Drosophila melanogaster: one gene and its partners. The gene in region 1 interacts genetically with each later gene. Each region holds a gene or a part of one and is shown on either strand. Other genes may lie near its edges.

Region 1 (5,546 bases):
CCGGTAGCGAGCGCAATTTCCCCGCCGTTCCGGCCAACTCGCTGAAGCAGTACAAGGAGCAGGATGGCTTTGGCAAGCGCGCCTACATGGGTCTCCAGATCGACTACGATCTGCGCGGTGACTACATCTTGGAGGTCAACGCCAAGAGCCCCTTCGGTCAGCGCAGCCCTGCCCACAAGCAGGCCGCCTACCATGGCATGCACCACGCCCAGAACTAGAGCGCCCATGGCCACGCCCCCTGGTTACCAGGGACGTTCGATCGTCACGCACTTTCTGATAATCAGAAAATAAAAACCCGGAATGCGTAGTTTAGCTTAGAAGTTTCATCAAACAATCAAAAAAGAAAAATCTATAAAATCCCATAAAAATAAAAGCTGCAAATTTTCGAAAAGTCAAGTTTTTTAATAGCAATAGCAATGGTTATTCTGGATTGGATTCTAACTTTTATGGTATTAAAAAACACACACAAGAATTTGCTGGGCACATTTTTAGGCACCCCTTCTGAAGTAAATAGAAAAATTTCCGAAAATATACATATTTAACATAGTAAATCGGCCAAACAACTTAAATGAGCTAATAATAAAAAGATAAATGCATATATCACAGGTGATCTTAAGCAGATGCTTAACCAAAAAACAACACGATAAATAAAGCAAACAAAAAGTGCCTAAAATACAATTATGATACCTAATGAAAGGTACACGAAAGAAAATGTAGATAATAAATAAACTGAAAAGAAATTAGGAATAACTCATAAAAATCAAAATTTAGAAAACTGTGCAGCTTGGTATTTACTAGCACCCTAGATGCTTAACAGGATTGCGAAGTTGGGATGGAAATACGCACAAGGAGATGGATGCATTGAGTGGGCGGAAGTGAGAGTGAGGCAACTAGTGTCCGTTGCCATTTGATGTGCACTCAATTAAAATTTGCATTCGGTTTATCGTTAGTGACTACTCGTTCAAAAATCACTGGGCAACCTGTGTAAACTCAATTGTTCCTTACAGTTTTGGGACATGCGCGGTGTAAATGTCAAAGTTGAACTTTATCAAATGCAATAGACAAACTAGAAAGGGCAGCGAAAACAGCAGAGTCGAAAATAGAGCGAGATAGGGAGCTGGAGTGACAGGAGCGGAATGACAACAGTTGGCGTCTTTTGTTTGTGCATGTCGTGACATGTTTGCTTTGACTCTGACCGAACGGAATGCGCCGTTAAGCTTATCTTCTTACCGTACACTTAGAGCGTCTTCTCTCTCTCTCTCTCTCACTATTTGCCCTTCAGCGTTTGTTCTTCTTTTTGGGCTTGGCAAGCTCTTGCTCTCGCTGCTTTTCTCCAGAAGAGAGCGCACAAGGACGCCGGGACGTTGGCATTTTGTGGGGTTCTGGCCATCCGAGTTTCTTGCAGAAATTACTGTATATTATTCATTGGCCGATATGCATAAATCCAATTTACGAAACCCCCCCTTTTCAGCCTAGCCAGCTGAGTGTCCCCGCAAAAGGAGAGAAAGGCAAAGAGAGTGAGAGTGACGCTTTCTCGCGCGCTTTTGTTGCGCACAAATAAAGTAAGGGGTTTTCCGCGAATCGTCAGTTGAGAATTGAGAACTGAACTGACCGTTTTCAGAAACGGTGGCGTTTTAACTTTTTTGTTATTTAATTAGTCCTTAAATAGTCCTTTTCTAAAATGTACTTAAAACATGTATGTATATGTAATGTAGAAATAGTTTTTTAATATCTAAGCAAAAATTATCCAGATTGCAAATATGTACATACATACATATGTATTTATGTATATACTAGTATACTTTTTATGAGTCTGGCGATTTTGCGGTGATACTCATTTTCGGAACGCCTCGCTCTCTCCGCTCATTTCTCTTGGCTTTGCTTTTGCTTTAGCTTCGTTTGCTTTTCGGCGTTCGTTCAGTTCAGCGTTCGGCGTTCCGTTCAGTTCATTTCGGTTTGGTTCATCTTACTTCAGTTCGGAATCAAACGCGAGCCGAGTCGCAATCGCAACTTTGCCGCCGCGCAGCGCACGCTGTTTTTTTTTCAGTGTGTACGTTTTGATTGCAAAAAGAAATAAGCAAACGCAAGGCAAGCAGCAACAACGCTGAAAACATTTTTCATCTGCGGCCTGGAAAAGCGCCCCGAAGAAAATGAATAGATAAATTGTATTAATCGCCCAATCGAGTCAGCATATATCCACTGTATATTTATATTTTGTTGTGCGTTGTTCGTTGTTTTTTTTTCTCCTTTGCGCTTTGGACCTTACTCTTTTGTTGTTAATTGTCCAGCTGCCCGCAATGATAATAATGTGAGTTGGCCCGCCGAAAGTTGGTACGTTTTCCACTGCTGCTCTTTTTTCACCTTTGTTTGTAACAAATGGAATAGTTTACAACAAAATTCGTAAAATTAGTTAAGGATACTTCGGTTGTCGTGTGTGTGTGTGTGTGGGTGGCAGCTGCGTAAATGCGTAAGCTGCGTCGCGTTTGTGTAAGTGTGTGTGTGTTGGCTGTGGCCAGGTCTCAAGGTCCCGTTAGCTCTCTCCCACCGCTCTTCCTGTTTCACGCTTTTGCTCTCTTTTACAAACAACAACAAGTCTGTGATAAGAATTTTCCATGCGTAATTTTCACGTAAAGCTTTGTTTTGTTATGTTTGGTACTTTTGCACTTTTATAAATCGGATAAAGTTTATTACAGTTCAGCGTTTTAAAAAGTCTTTTATAGCCATCTTAATGATTGATTTTTTAAAGTATTTTTTAAGGAATTTAAGTCAAATTAAAAATAAAAATATTAATTTATAACTATTTCTTTAAAAAAATGCTTTAATCTAAAAATGATAAATTTCTTAAGAATAATATTGTTAGAAATGTTTTCATTATGAGTTCATAAAAAATAACTTTTTTTGGTTAATGTTCCATAAATAATTTTTTACACATTTCATTATACTAAAAAAATAGGAACTTAACTCAGATGAAAAATAAAAATATTTATTCGAAAGCACTGCTCTGGAATTTATAACCATTGGTTTTTGAAAAAAAGTCTTTAATCTTAGAAATTATGAATTTCCTATGATTAATATTTTTAGGAATGTACATTTTTCATAAATGAGTCTATAAAAGATATCTTTGTACAAAATAAATATTATTATATAGGCCCTTTTTGAGATGAACCCAAGAAATACGTTTGTTGTGTTCTTATTTTTGCTGCTTATTGTATTTATAAATTATTAATAAGCACAAAGCGTGCCACAGGTGTGCACGAAGGAGTGAGCGAGACGGGGAGAGTGGGTGAGAGCCAAAGAGAGAGTACGTGACCTTTTTTTCTTGCTCTTTTCCGTCTAATTTAGCTCACTAAACTTGAGACTCGGATTTAATAGGCTTTCTTTCAACCTTTGCTTTCTTTGCATCCCAACCCGTCTATTTCTGTCTCTGTCTCGCGTTCATTTATTTCCGCTTGAGTGCGTTTTCTGTTGTTGTTGCTTTTCTTCGTTTTATTACCTTTTTTTGCACATTTTTCTACACCTTTTTTTTTATTGTATTGCTTGGTCAATTACCATGGCAATTTATTTATCAGTTTGGCGTTTTTGATGTTGCAACAATTGCGCAAATTTATTTCCTCTATTTTCACTATTTGAGCTTCTGTCTGGCAGACTTAATAACAAAAATGGTTTTGTGCATAAAAGCGTGGAATTTTACCCATCTTCATCTTATGATTTTACACGGAGAGAAAAGTATATCAAGCAATCTTAAAAATAATTTAAATATCAGAGTGGACATGGATAAAATGTGCATTGTGTTAATATATTTTAATAATATTAATGAATGAAAATATTTGTGATATTGCTCTTACTTTTCTCCGTGTGCATACCCTTGCTTTACCCTTTGGTCACATCATAAACAAAAATTTTTTAAATGACAAAATACATCATAAACAACCACATTGAAGGCTACGTGCACTTTGGCCGGATCTTTTATAGCCAGCACATGTGTGCGTTTGTAATTTGTTTATTGATGCACAGTGGGCCGCTTTTTCATCTCCGGGCTGCTATATCATTTAAAAAAAAAGGTGTTTTCTAGTCTAGATTTCTCGAATGCCCCCCGCCAAATAAGAAGACTTTAAGCGAATCGTAAATAATGTCCATTTTTTTATAAGCCCCATAAAGGAAGCTCCATTGTAATAAATCTTATCGCTGCAAAGTTTTTTCTCATCGTGAATATTAACATTTCTTATCACTTTTAACTGCAGGTGCTTTCTTCTTATATGAACTTTACTTGTGTTCTCTAAAAGTCGTAAAAATGTACATACATATGAATATTAAATTGGGAAAAGTAATTGCAGTTGTAAACAAAACCTAGCATTCTTCATATAGTGCTAACTGCACATTGTTACTTTCGCTAGCTTAACAGAAATTTTTTACACCAAAAAAGTTGTTTCACAACTTTAAAACAGTGGAAGATACATGTTTTCGTTATGAAATTATCTGTTTTTCTTATATATAGGACACACTTTCGATAACCTTTGACCCAGTGTAGCAAAGAAAATCTGTTGGCGCATTTTCTGTGTCACAAAATGTAATTATGCTAAGGAGGCAAAAAAAAAAAACAGAAAAATGGTGATGTGTGGAGGCTAACGGGGGGTGGAGAGTGCTAGGCGAAAAGGGGGCGTGGCATGGCAGGGGGAAGGGGGCCTAAAGCGGTGGCCATATTGTTGGGGCTTACGATTCGTTACGGCCTGCCATGTAACTGCCATGACATAAACATGTGCATGTCTGTGTTCGTTTCCCCTTCCCCCACTGCCCGCTGTGCCCAATAATTATTGATTGACGGCCCTCCTTTATTGTGCCTCTTATTTTAGCATCTAGAACATCCCGCCCCCTCCCCCATTTCCCCAACAATGTCTATCCAGATCTTATTAGGATCAAACCATATATAACTACAAACTAATGAAACTATGCCATAATATAATTACATATATCAAAAGCTTCTTTTTAGTAATTTCATATAGAATGAATGTATTGTATTATGTATTAGATATTCTGTAGCTTGTTTTTCTTAATCTCATAGTAAATAGGGAAATCTAAACTTTTGCGCAACATGGTTGAGTGTTGAGTTTGCATGCTAAGTGCCACTTACATCAATTTACAAAATCCCCATTCCCCCCTTTTCGACCAACACAAAAGCTCCAATTAAAAAGTAAGCTCCTTTGGGATCCATAAATTGGATGGGGGAATACAATAGCACTTAATGAGGAGCTGGACAAATTTGTGGTCGAGATAAATACGCGATAAGATCTAAACAGATTAGGAGTCTAATGAAGGTCATTAGCAATGGAAGTTCACAGCTTGTAAGCACAGTGGGGCTACGTAGTTAAGAGGTTTAATTGTAGTTTAAGAATATATATATGCTATATGCCCAAGAATATTCTATTATATTTGATAATATAAATATATAGATATATAGATATACTGACAAATTTCAAGTAGCTTAGATTTTAACTTAACGTTCTGTGCGGAAATATTCTTCACTTAATAAAAATGATCAGTTAAGTTCC
Region 2 (5,023 bases), on another chromosome or scaffold:
TTTTAACGAATCTAGTATACCCTTTTACTCTACGAGTAACGGGTACAACAAAAATGCTATATTCGACTTATGTTCTGACAGTCAGATACCCGTTACTCAGTTAGTGGAAATGGTGAATTGATTGAGAAAATATTTAAACAAATTTGAAAGTATGGGCGTGGCAAAAAGTTTTTTGGTAAATCGATAAAAATTTACAAGTGTAATAAAAATATAAAAAAAAATTTGAAAACATTTTTTAAAAGTGCAAGGATGTGCAAGTTTTAGGCGGCTATAGGCATTAGGGGGGCTTGGCAACTTTCTATCTGTTATATTTTGGAAGTGACAAACAGGTTCTTTTTTCGTCTTGGGCAACTATTATAATATATTATATTATATACTAAATAACAAGTTTACAAAGAATTCACTACACTAGTAATAAAAGCTATCACTACTTCAAAGTTAGCAGACCCAATACGAAATTCAATGACCAAATAGAAGTCAGCACCAAAACTTAATTACTTAAAAATTTCTTTGAGTGACAGAAGGAAAACTTATATTAGGACAGTATATTTCTTAGATTAGATTTATGGAAGATAACAATGTACTAATTTCTGAATTGTTTAAATAATATCGAACGAGTCAACTACCTTATCCAAACCGCTACCGGAGCACTATCCCTTCGAAAGCTTAGTCTCATTTCTCAACAGCTAACTATAATTTGAAAATATTTAGAATAAAGTTATTGTTCGATAGGCTCATGTTTTTTTTGGGATGAAAGGGGATTTTTATTAAATGTCCGAAAATAATTTTTCGTCACTAAAGTTTGGTATGGTATTTGGCATGATGCGATCGTCAAATGTTTTTACCGAGTCACTAACTTGGACATAGTCTCTAAAACATACTTTTGATTTTATTTTTACTTAGTTCCGAACTAGGGGTCAATAATTTAAGTTATTGAAATTCAGTTGCCCCGCGTGGGACAATCTAATCGAATGCTAATTGTAATTCGGTTATTTATCCTGCGCACTTCATTGGGGTCGTACAAATAATGAGTTCTGATTACAGCGATTGTGCCCAAGTCTAGTGTTGCCGATAAGATAGCCGCAATAGATACTAAGCAGAGCTACATGCACACCCAAAGTGCCGTTGTGACTCATCGACTCCTCGACCATTGTTGCGGGTCCGACAATAGGCCTGTACTCGATCAGCGATTTTTAAAAGGTGTGTGAACCGCGCAGAAAGCTTTGGAAAGCTTGTAGAGTTTGTGCCAATGCCTCGGCAGAGAACTTGTTCTTATGGATTGTGGCTGACCTTGCCGTAGAAGCCCATTATGTTTTTATTTGCATAATACCTTAGAACAGTCGAAGGGTTTTCGGGCTATCGCATTTCAATATCTTGGAGATTATGAAAAGCTTTGCCAGCTGTTTTGAAGTTCGCAGCTGTGCTCTGGAAAACTCCCTCTCCATTACCAACTTGCGGCATTGACGCTCTCGCCGTAACCGTTACCCGTTAACCGTTTTGAGCTCGGCGACCTAAGCTTTTGGCTGCGTCGCGAGGTTTAGTTAATATTATTAACCGGAGTGACGGCCAAGTTGTCGCAACGTTTCTCGTGGATCGCAGATCGTGGCGGTAAGGCGAGCTTTTTGCCGGGGGCTCAAAGTGTGAGTGTGAGGTGTCTTCAGTTTGGTTTTTTTCACATAGCGTGGCATTACTCTCTTTGACGAATTCAATGCGACGTCGCGCTTTTTTCGGTTCTGCAACTTCCGTTAGTCGGTGGCTCGAAAAGTAAACAAAGTGCTGCATATCGCATGCAAACGTGACAATCTTTCAGACGCACTCCAACTTGATAACTTGATAAGCATCTGTGAGATGCAAAGATACAAGTTATAAAGCACCATCTCGCGAAGCCATGTAGCCGAGTGAAAAAAGTAAAATATGCGAAAGCAGAAAAACAAAAAATTTGTGCGTGTGTTAGTTGGCCATTGTGCAAACCTTTAATGAGCTGGAAGCGCCAAAAGCCAAATACCAACGAATATAAAGAGCACGCGAAACATTCAGTTATATTTGCAAAACTTGGTTTTGTGTTCACGCAAAGATAACGATATGCCATGATAAAAATTTAATTAATTATTTTTCAATGCAAGGGATATAAAAAAAGAAAAGTATACACGCTGTGACTGAATGAAACTTGGAAGGCAAAATTAATTTAAATGATTATTTTCGTGGCGCAAAGTATCCTTCCTTCCTCTACTTACCTCCACGGCAATAAGTCCATTATACACAAACGCGGTATTTATAATTTGTGGTTTAAACAGCCTCCGCAGGCCGCAGAACGGACATTTTTCACGTAGGCGAACTGTCGATGCGACTGAGAAATGCAAAAAACTGGAGCCGACAACAAAAGCTTCCTATCTATAAAGCCAAAAACCGATTGCCAAAAATAAAATAGAGCCCATTAAATAGCCCGCGTAAAGCGCACACAACAATGATGGCCACGTGCTTGGATACCAAAACCAGCAAGAACCATGAGGCCCAGCAACTGCAACTGCCCCGGCAGGCGTCATCGAACGCCAACTTGCCACATTTGCAGGTCCGACGTCATCGCCGCAGCATCTCACAGCTGATGGCCAGCATGGGTAATTTTTAGATCTGAAGATAAAGATATTTTCATTTGCATAGATTACTTGGTTCTCGTAGAGCGGCAATGAAATATGTGCGTCATCGTGAGATGAGATAAGAGTGATCATGTTTGCTAAGATATTTCAACATTTAGAACTGGTTGGCGGTAGGTGTTATGGTATGCGAAAGTGAAAAATCATTCTGCACCAAGTTTTCATTGTTTCAATTTGGGGCGATTTATAACAATGAGTGTGCAGTCGAACTTAAATAAGTGTAGTAGTGTAGGGAACCAAGAACTGATAACGATTTCATTGCCTAAATAATAAATTAGCCGAACAATACCCGTTTCCTTTGGATTATATAAGCCTTTACCCACTTATTGCTTCCATCAAATTGCGTGTTGGGCTCGGCCTAACGGTGCAATTAGTAAATGAATCATAATCAATTTTAAAATGCATGACGCGCTGCAAGTAACGATACATGCCGATATTGTTAAAAATATATCGAGCCTGATTTACATTTGTACTCATGCTCGATCATTGCAACAGGAAGTTTCGATTTCTTTGCAATTGTGTGTAGGTCAGGTGAAGCAAGCGATCGGTGGGTTTAATAACCTTTTCAGTAGACCGGCCACTGACAAAACCCGCTAAACAAAGGCGATTCAAAATGAACGCCCTCGGTCTGAGGACATTTTGATAACGGGCATTAAATGGAAAGCATTAACATTCCTGCAAAAAAAAATACAATGCATATAACAGAATTTTTCAGTTAAATCAAAAATGTTTAAGTAACATTTAATTCGGCAATTTAGAACTAGTTTTTTTTCACACCAATGCCCTATCAATAGGAATGGGATACCACAGCTTTATTCGCCACCATAAAAACGTATTATTGTGGTTGGAGTTTAGTTTTTTCAACGAAAAATTGTATATTCTTGAAACAAAATGGGGTTACTTCTATTCGTCTTATCTGTTAGTGATAAAAGTGTCAAGTTTTTTTTAAGTTAATTTGCTTGCCAAAACCAATGAGCCAAAACTAATGAGTTCGGCAAATCGCTTTGAAAGTGAAAAGGTGTTAAGAAATTATGGTTCTTTTATTGAGTACGGTGTTACACTTATTATACCGCCTTAAATTTCTGAAAACGGCGGCCGATGATTGAATAATAGGTCCAAGGTTTAATTATATCCACAATTCTCTTTAACGATTCGTCTAATCAAATACATTTTTGATGGACTTAAATTTTTTTATTTTTTCACTTTTATCACAAATCATGGAACTCGAGCATTAAAGAAGTTTTTGTTTTTGCCTCCAGAAGTTTTTGTTTGGTGACTTGAAGCTGATAGCAAAAAGAGCTTCGTGATAAGGCATATGCCAACACTCGTTATTTTCACTACCCATATAATAACGAATTCAATACCAAGAATTTATGCCTGCCAGTTGAACTTGCCCATAAGCTAGCCTGTGTATGTAAAAGTGTGGTAATAAAACTTTGATGGCACTTATTATGATAGGGTATCATGGAAGTGCCCCAATGTCATTGATCATTGACGGCCATTATCAAATTCTTTGCACTCGGCGTTCCAGTTTATTTTAATTATCACAAGTGATAAGGAGCAATCGTAAGTTATGACTCGTTCAATTGTTTGATAAATTAAACCAACAACTTCTGAAACAGTATCTTAACAAAAATTTTCAGGTGTCGCTACCTTTTTTTTTTAAAAAACCATTTTCGATTTTTGAATTTTAAATATTTCTATACGCGGTACTCAGCGGACAGAAATAAAGTTACTCTGTGAATAGGCGAATAGGACAGGACACCTGTTATTGTCTGCTAATCAAAGCACTTGACTAAGTACTGATTTATTCTGTTTATTACTATCGTCGATAACTGAACCTGTGCACTTTTGCAAAGCCGTGCCGCATCCATAAACTCACTTAACCGTCATTGGTTGGCCTACCTACTGTGCAGTATGGCCTAATCTATTTGTTGTGCCGTTTTATTTGGGCTTGCTATCTAAATGTCAATCAGCTAGAAGCTGATTGCTCAAGTATTTTGGGAAAACAGAACAGTAGAGATTAGGACAGGTATATGGCAAAACTGTATCTCCAAAAGATGCGTACGATACCTAATATTCTCCTCTGATTTGCGTTCTCAGCCAGTAGCACTGAGCTAAGGAAAATGCTATACTTACGGGCGAAGGAGGTGCGTCGTGTGTATTTAGCTTTAAATGTTTTCAAGGTTCGAGCAGGGTTCCTATGTCAAGTTCAGCCGACCATAATGCATTAAACTTAACTACACCACATGTCGTGAGCTCTGACCTTGAGCGAGCTTCTGTTTCGAATGTAGATAGCACTTGCTAATTATTACCATTTAATGGTTACAACACAGGCCGTTCAGCCGGGGGACATATCTCAAAAATGTTAT
Region 3 (6,020 bases), on another chromosome or scaffold:
TGCCATGGTCCAAAGGTCATTATACAGCTAGTAACTCACGACAGGTGCGCTGCAGATCAATAGGTGTTAAGGGCGCAGGTCAAAAACAAGACGGTCGGCTAACAAGTAGCCAAGCGGAATTGCCAAATGTTGAAATGGCGAACAACAGAATAAGGAAAACAACAAAGCCTTGGCCAAAAGCAAACGAAGCCAGAGAAAAGTAATGCAAAGTAAAGTCAGAGTAAATAACCTGGAAGTAAAGCTAAACAAAAATGTGTTATACGCTGAGAGGCGGCTCTCTGGCTCTTTGCGGCTTGGCCTGCTTTTGTGAAATGGCCAAGAGGGAAAAATGGAGGGGAAAATTGTTTGGCGACGCCATGGAAATGATGACGTAAATTGAAAGCCAAAGCTGCCACGGCAACGAAATCTATTTGCAATTCCCTCTGCTCGCCGAAACCCCCTTGTCAATGCCTTTCAACCGACAGGTGTGCAGTTCTGTAGTTCTGGGCAATCTGCGAGTGCATATTTGTCGACTCACTGAGTGCACTTCTGAGATACAGATACGCGTGCCGCTGCAGATACTTAGATACTTTGACTTGGACCTGCTTTAATGGCATTTTTCCCCGACAAAGGTCCTACATTTCCGCTTTAATGCATTTTCCAACCCATTTCATCGCTGCTTTCGGTAGCGTTTTTAGTTGTTTCAGCTTGGATTTCAGCTAACCGCTTTTATTTTGTATTTTGTTTGCCTTGCCAGCCAGCGTGTCCTTCTGTGTCCTGTGTGCACTTTGTGCTCAATTCTGCGTTTTCTATTTCTATTTTTAGCCCTGCACTGAAAGCCAGCTGGCTTGCAGGGGCGGCGCTTAAATGGGGGGTTCTTTCACGGAAAACGTGCCCTGCCAGCAATTGCATAAATTAATCAAAACTGCCACACAGTATAAATACTCAATCGACAATAGTCACACATACACACACACACACACATAGAAGCTTTCGCACATCACCATTTTCCGAAACCCCTTCGCCCACTTTTCCAATTTTATTGCATTGACGTCACAGCTGCAGTTGTCCGGAGCAATGGCTCCGATGATGATTATGTTTGTCTTCTGGCCAGGTAAGCACCTTCTTGACCTTTCCCAAGCTGTTTACACTTATCGCTGGTAAGGGCCCAAAGACGAGAGTTCTTGGCTTTCACTCTTCGGTCCTCCGTTCGATTGACGGGACGTCGTTGAGTGCTTTTTCCTGGGGGACAATTGCGATGGGGGCTAACTGCCGAACTAACTGAATCAGCGTGGATAAGTGCTGATTACCCAGGCATAGAGCAAATGGTTGCATGGCAACTTGTGTAAGATCTATAGGGACTAGTAGTAAGGATGCTTTGGACATGACATTCATTGTTATGAAATGGTTAAAAGCATTAAATTTGACTTTTAAAATGCGCACACATATATTAAGTACCTAGAAATTGACAGAAATTAATCATACAAAGTCTCAAATATTACACAATTGTTTAACACCGATTTACGCTAACAAAGGCACAATTTAATTGTGGTAAATAGTTCCACAAATGTCCGATTTTAAATAATTAAAAAAACATGCAATAAAGAGGCTATAAAATATTATTCACTTTGATATGTGCATAATTAACGTTTAATATTCGTGTGTTTACTCACACATATTTTATTTTCTTTTAGCTGCTTTACATGTGCAGAAATAATTTTAAATCAGAAGGGTATTTTTCTGAAACATTTCTCTTATGGTTTTTTTTTGATATGTATGAGCAGTATTATGTTGTATTTATATTACATTTTTTATTCAGTCTACACAAATATAATGAGATATGGATAAGGAGGTTTCTATAAGCTAGGAACAAATACATATTTGGAAAATTTATGAATGAAATTACGTCTTATGCACTATTGCATAAGTCCAAACTGTCGCCCGTTTGCATCACTCTGTGTCATTTTCTTGCCTTCAACTTTGTGTGTGCACTTTGTTGGCTTCCAAGTTGCTTCTTTTAGGGTCTTCACCTGACCGACCGGGTCAGTTTCTAGACGGGCTTGAAACCGTACGGTCTGAGTCAGCTTTTTCTCTTCACTAGCTATCCAATTCCCTGACATTATCTTTTAATGGCTGCGGCTGCTGTTGCCACACCGGGGGCCACTGTGCTCCCTCCCTCGGTGCCCAGTGCCGCTCCAGGGGCCAAGGCTCCAGCGGCTGGAGCTGGCAAAGGTCCAGGAAATCTACTGGAGATCACTGGCGAAGCAAATATCGTCAACTATATGAAGAATCGTCTAAGGAAGGGTGCGATGAAGCGAAAGGGTCTCGAAATGGTCAATGGTCATCGTTTCGGAGTTAGATTCTTTAAGAATCCAACCTACTGCGGTCATTGCAAGGATTTCATCTGGTGAGAAATTTCGTTTTCGGTTTTTGCTGGCATCTCAGCGTTCCCATCGTTAATTTAATTAGTGCCTTCGTTGCTGACACACTTTTCGTTGTTTTTTCTATATTTTTTTCGCTGTTCTTCCGTTTCGCATTGTTGCATTCGCGGATTCGTGCCGGGATTAGGGGCTTTGGCAAGCAAGGTTTTCAGTGCGAGGGTAGGTAGAAATGTTCACAATTTAAAAAATCTTTTAAAATATTTGCATACGCAGAATGCCGCTTCAACATTCACCAGAAGTGCTGTAAATTTGTGGTGTTCAAATGTCCTGGCAAGGACACGGACTTCGATGCCGACTGCGCTAAGGTGAAGCACGGCTGGATTTCCACCACCTACACCACACCGACATTCTGCGACGAGTGCGGACTGCTGCTCCATGGAGTCGCCCATCAGGGCGTCAAGTGCGAGAGTAAATTCCTGAATAAACTCGAGTCCTATTGCTTTCAAGCTATTAACCCAAATATTTCAGATTGCAACCTAAATGTGCATCACGCCTGCCAGGAGACAGTGCCACCGATGTGTGGTGCGGACATCAGCGAGGTGAGGGGTAAACTACTGCTATACGTCGAGCTTAAGGGCAATAACTTGAAAGTTGATAGTAAGTTATTACTTAAAGTTTATATGCCCATATAAAGATTAATGTTTCTTTCATACTGCAGTTAAGGAGGCAGCTAACCTCATTCCCATGGATACCAACGGGTTTAGCGATCCCTATATTGCAGTGCAAATGCATCCGGACCGTTCGGGGCGCACCAAAAAGAAGACCAAGACCATTCAGAAAAACCTCAATCCAGTGTTCAACGAGACTTTTACTTTGTAATAGTTGAAAACTAATCCTCTAAATAGACCTCTTTACCATATTTTCTTTAATCCTAGTGAGTTGCAGCCGCAGGACCGTGACAAGCGTTTGCTCATCGAGGTTTGGGATTGGGATCGAACTTCTCGCAATGATTTCATGGGATCGTTCTCGTTCAGCCTGGAGGAACTGCAAAAGGAGCCAGTTGATGGCTGGTATAAGTTTCTGTCGCAAGTGGAGGGTGAACATTATAACATACCCTGTGTGGATGCCTTTAATGATATAGCTCGCTTAAGGGATGAAGTTAGGGTAAGCGGATGTCCTCACCAAGTTTGCCACATATTTAATATTCCTGATTTTCAGCACGATCGTCGTCCGAATGAAAAGCGTCGCATGGACAACAAGGATATGCCGCATAATATGAGCAAACGCGATATGATTCGAGCTGCTGATTTCAACTTTGTTAAAGTTATTGGCAAGGGATCCTTTGGCAAAGTCCTGCTGGCCGAGCGTCGTGGCACGGATGAGCTGTATGCCGTGAAGGTCCTGCGAAAGGATGTCATTATCCAAACGGACGATATGGAGCTGCCAATGAATGAGAAGAAAATTCTAGCCCTATCCGGACGTCCTCCTTTCCTCGTCTCCATGCACTCATGTTTCCAGACTATGGACCGATTATTCTTCGTAATGGAGTACTGTAAGGGTGGAGATCTTATGTACCATATGCAGCAGTATGGAAGGTTCAAGGAGTCTGTGGCTATGTGAGTACAAATATTTATATTCAAGTACCATATTTTGAAATCTTCTATATATTATGTGCTTAGTTTTTACGCTGTGGAAGTGGCTATTGCTCTGTTTTTCCTCCACGAGCGTGATATTATCTATAGAGATCTAAAGCTGGACAACATTTTGCTGGATGGTGAGGGGCATGTAAAGCTGGTCGACTTTGGATTGAGCAAAGAGGGCGTTACCGAGCGGCAGACCACACGAACCTTTTGTGGTACTCCAAATTATATGGCTCCCGAAGTAAGTAAATCAGCCGAAAAAAATAAGTGTAAAAATAATCAGCTTAAAAATAATTTAAGATTGTTAGCTACGATCCGTATTCCATCGCCGCTGATTGGTGGTCTTTTGGTGTATTGCTTTTCGAATTCATGGCAGGTCAGGCTCCATTCGAAGGAGATGATGAAACTACTGTCTTTAGGAACATAAAGGACAAGAAGGCGGTGTTTCCAAAGCATTTCAGCGTGGAGGCCATGGATATAATAACGAGCGTAAGTGTTGGATTTCAAAAACATATGAATCTAATGGTATAGATTTGTATTCCAAAGTTCCTGACCAAAAAGCCCAACAATAGATTGGGTGCAGGCCGCTATGCCAGACAGGAGATTACCACGCATCCTTTCTTCCGGAATGTGGACTGGGATAAGGCAGAGGCATGCGAAATGGAGCCACCTATTAAGCCAATGATTGTAAGCTAAAACAGGAGCCCCACTAGGAAATCATTTTATTGTAATCTTGGGTACATTTCAGAAACATCGCAAGGATATAAGCAACTTTGATGATGCCTTTACCAAGGAGAAGACGGACTTAACTCCAACGGACAAGCTTTTTATGATGAATTTGGACCAGAACGATTTTATCGGATTTTCTTTCATGAATCCCGAGTTTATAACCATCATTTAAAATGGTCTAAAAAAAAGCTTTGAGAAAAGTTTATAGGCTTCTTCGAAAAACTAGGCTTTTGCAAGTTAATTTACCGAAATTTATTTATTGTATCCTTCGCTAAAAGCCATCTAAATGTTCATTAAAGCTTTAACGCTTAAAGCTCTGATATTTAGTGGGTGGATTTTTCTTTTGGCTTTCTCTCTTTTAAGAGACAGCTTTTCACCACTAACATTAACATTTCCTCTGAAGCCCAGATAGTAAAAGAAAACAGAGAAAGTTCCGGACCAGCAGCTGATTGCTTTCTCTTTCTCTCTTTTCGGAAGGGGAAATCCTTTTGTGGAAACTCACCACTCGAGAGCACCTGAATTAGTTACGCATACGCCGCGTGTGCTCCACTCAAGGAAACCCTGACAGGAAGTTTCAAGATTGCCAGTGGGCTAACTAGCCAACTTTGGTTAAAATCTAAACTCATCAACAGGCTTGAAAGTTTTTAGTTATGTATGTCGAATTTCAAAGTTGCTCACAAGGCCACAACTTATTGCCGTTCATGTGGGTATGATGAAAATTCTTCGAACATTTTTGCCCAAATCCATCTTGCGGGTCGAGCGTAAAATTCAACGGGGTGAAAAGCGGTTTAACGGGTCGCCAAATAGTTTTCCTGTGCCAGGGCAAATATGTCTTATGACACATTTTAATATGAAATTTCACTACCGGGAATTCCCCGGATATTTTTAATTTGGGGCGCTCATCTAATCGACTGTCAAAAGCATTTCAAGGCGAATGCTATTTTCCGCTGCCCTGGTTCTAAATGAATTTCCACGATTTGCAGCTTCCCTTTTCGAAGGCAACATCCTGCTCAGAACTGTTTGCACTCTATTAGCGGCAATTTGCGGGTTTACGTGCACTTTTCACGGCTTTTAGACACGTTCCACTGTCTCTGGCCGGTTGCGCCGGTTGCAGAGTGCAGTCGACGATGTCCTTGTGCAGCGTTTCCTTTATCCATCCCCAATCAGCGCTTTCCACTTCCTGCCGTCGCCACCGCAACATGTGCCTTTGGGCTGCGCTCTTTGGTCTGTCGTTCGTTTCGTGTTGGCCCCGTTTGGAGTTTGGCTTAGGTATTAGGATGTACCAAAGTGC

Evidence for each region.
Region 2: of rdgB (region 1) and Pld, changing one suppresses a phenotype caused by changing the other (phenotypic suppression), as found in Drosophila melanogaster (one study listed by BioGRID).
Region 3: of rdgB (region 1) and inaC, changing one suppresses a phenotype caused by changing the other (phenotypic suppression), as found in Drosophila melanogaster (one study listed by BioGRID).

Annotation. Positions count from the first base shown.
Region 1 is NC_004354.4:13,760,781-13,766,326, forward strand, and holds the start of rdgB (retinal degeneration B), read left to right. Parts: upstream 1-1,971; 5' UTR 1,972-2,165; intron 2,166-2,288; exon of another isoform or gene 2,289-2,331; intron 2,332-5,546. Other genes in the region: Yp3 (yolk protein 3), read left to right, coding at 1-218. UniProt on the Drosophila melanogaster protein: Catalyzes the transfer of phosphatidylinositol (PI) and phosphatidic acid (PA) between membranes. May control phosphatidylinositol concentration in transport vesicles from the subrhabdomeric cisternae (SRC) to the rhabdomere.
Region 2 is NT_033778.4:6,243,970-6,248,992, forward strand, and holds the start of Pld (phospholipase D), read left to right. Parts: upstream 1-1,542; 5' UTR 1,543-1,608; intron 1,609-2,294; 5' UTR 2,295-2,464; coding exon 2,465-2,615; intron 2,616-5,023.
Region 3 is NT_033778.4:16,896,537-16,902,556, forward strand, and holds inaC (inactivation no afterpotential C), read left to right. Parts: upstream 1-1,998; 5' UTR 1,999-2,108; coding exon 2,109-2,386; intron 2,387-2,547; coding exon 2,548-2,579; intron 2,580-2,633; coding exon 2,634-2,828; intron 2,829-2,888; coding exon 2,889-3,017; intron 3,018-3,078; coding exon 3,079-3,235; intron 3,236-3,295; coding exon 3,296-3,524; intron 3,525-3,578; coding exon 3,579-3,976; intron 3,977-4,039; coding exon 4,040-4,241; intron 4,242-4,300; coding exon 4,301-4,489; intron 4,490-4,546; coding exon 4,547-4,687; intron 4,688-4,748; coding exon 4,749-4,901; 3' UTR 4,902-5,039; downstream 5,040-6,020. UniProt on the Drosophila melanogaster protein: This is a calcium-activated, phospholipid-dependent, serine- and threonine-specific enzyme. This isozyme is a negative regulator of the visual transduction cascade and has been shown to be required for photoreceptor cell inactivation and light adaptation.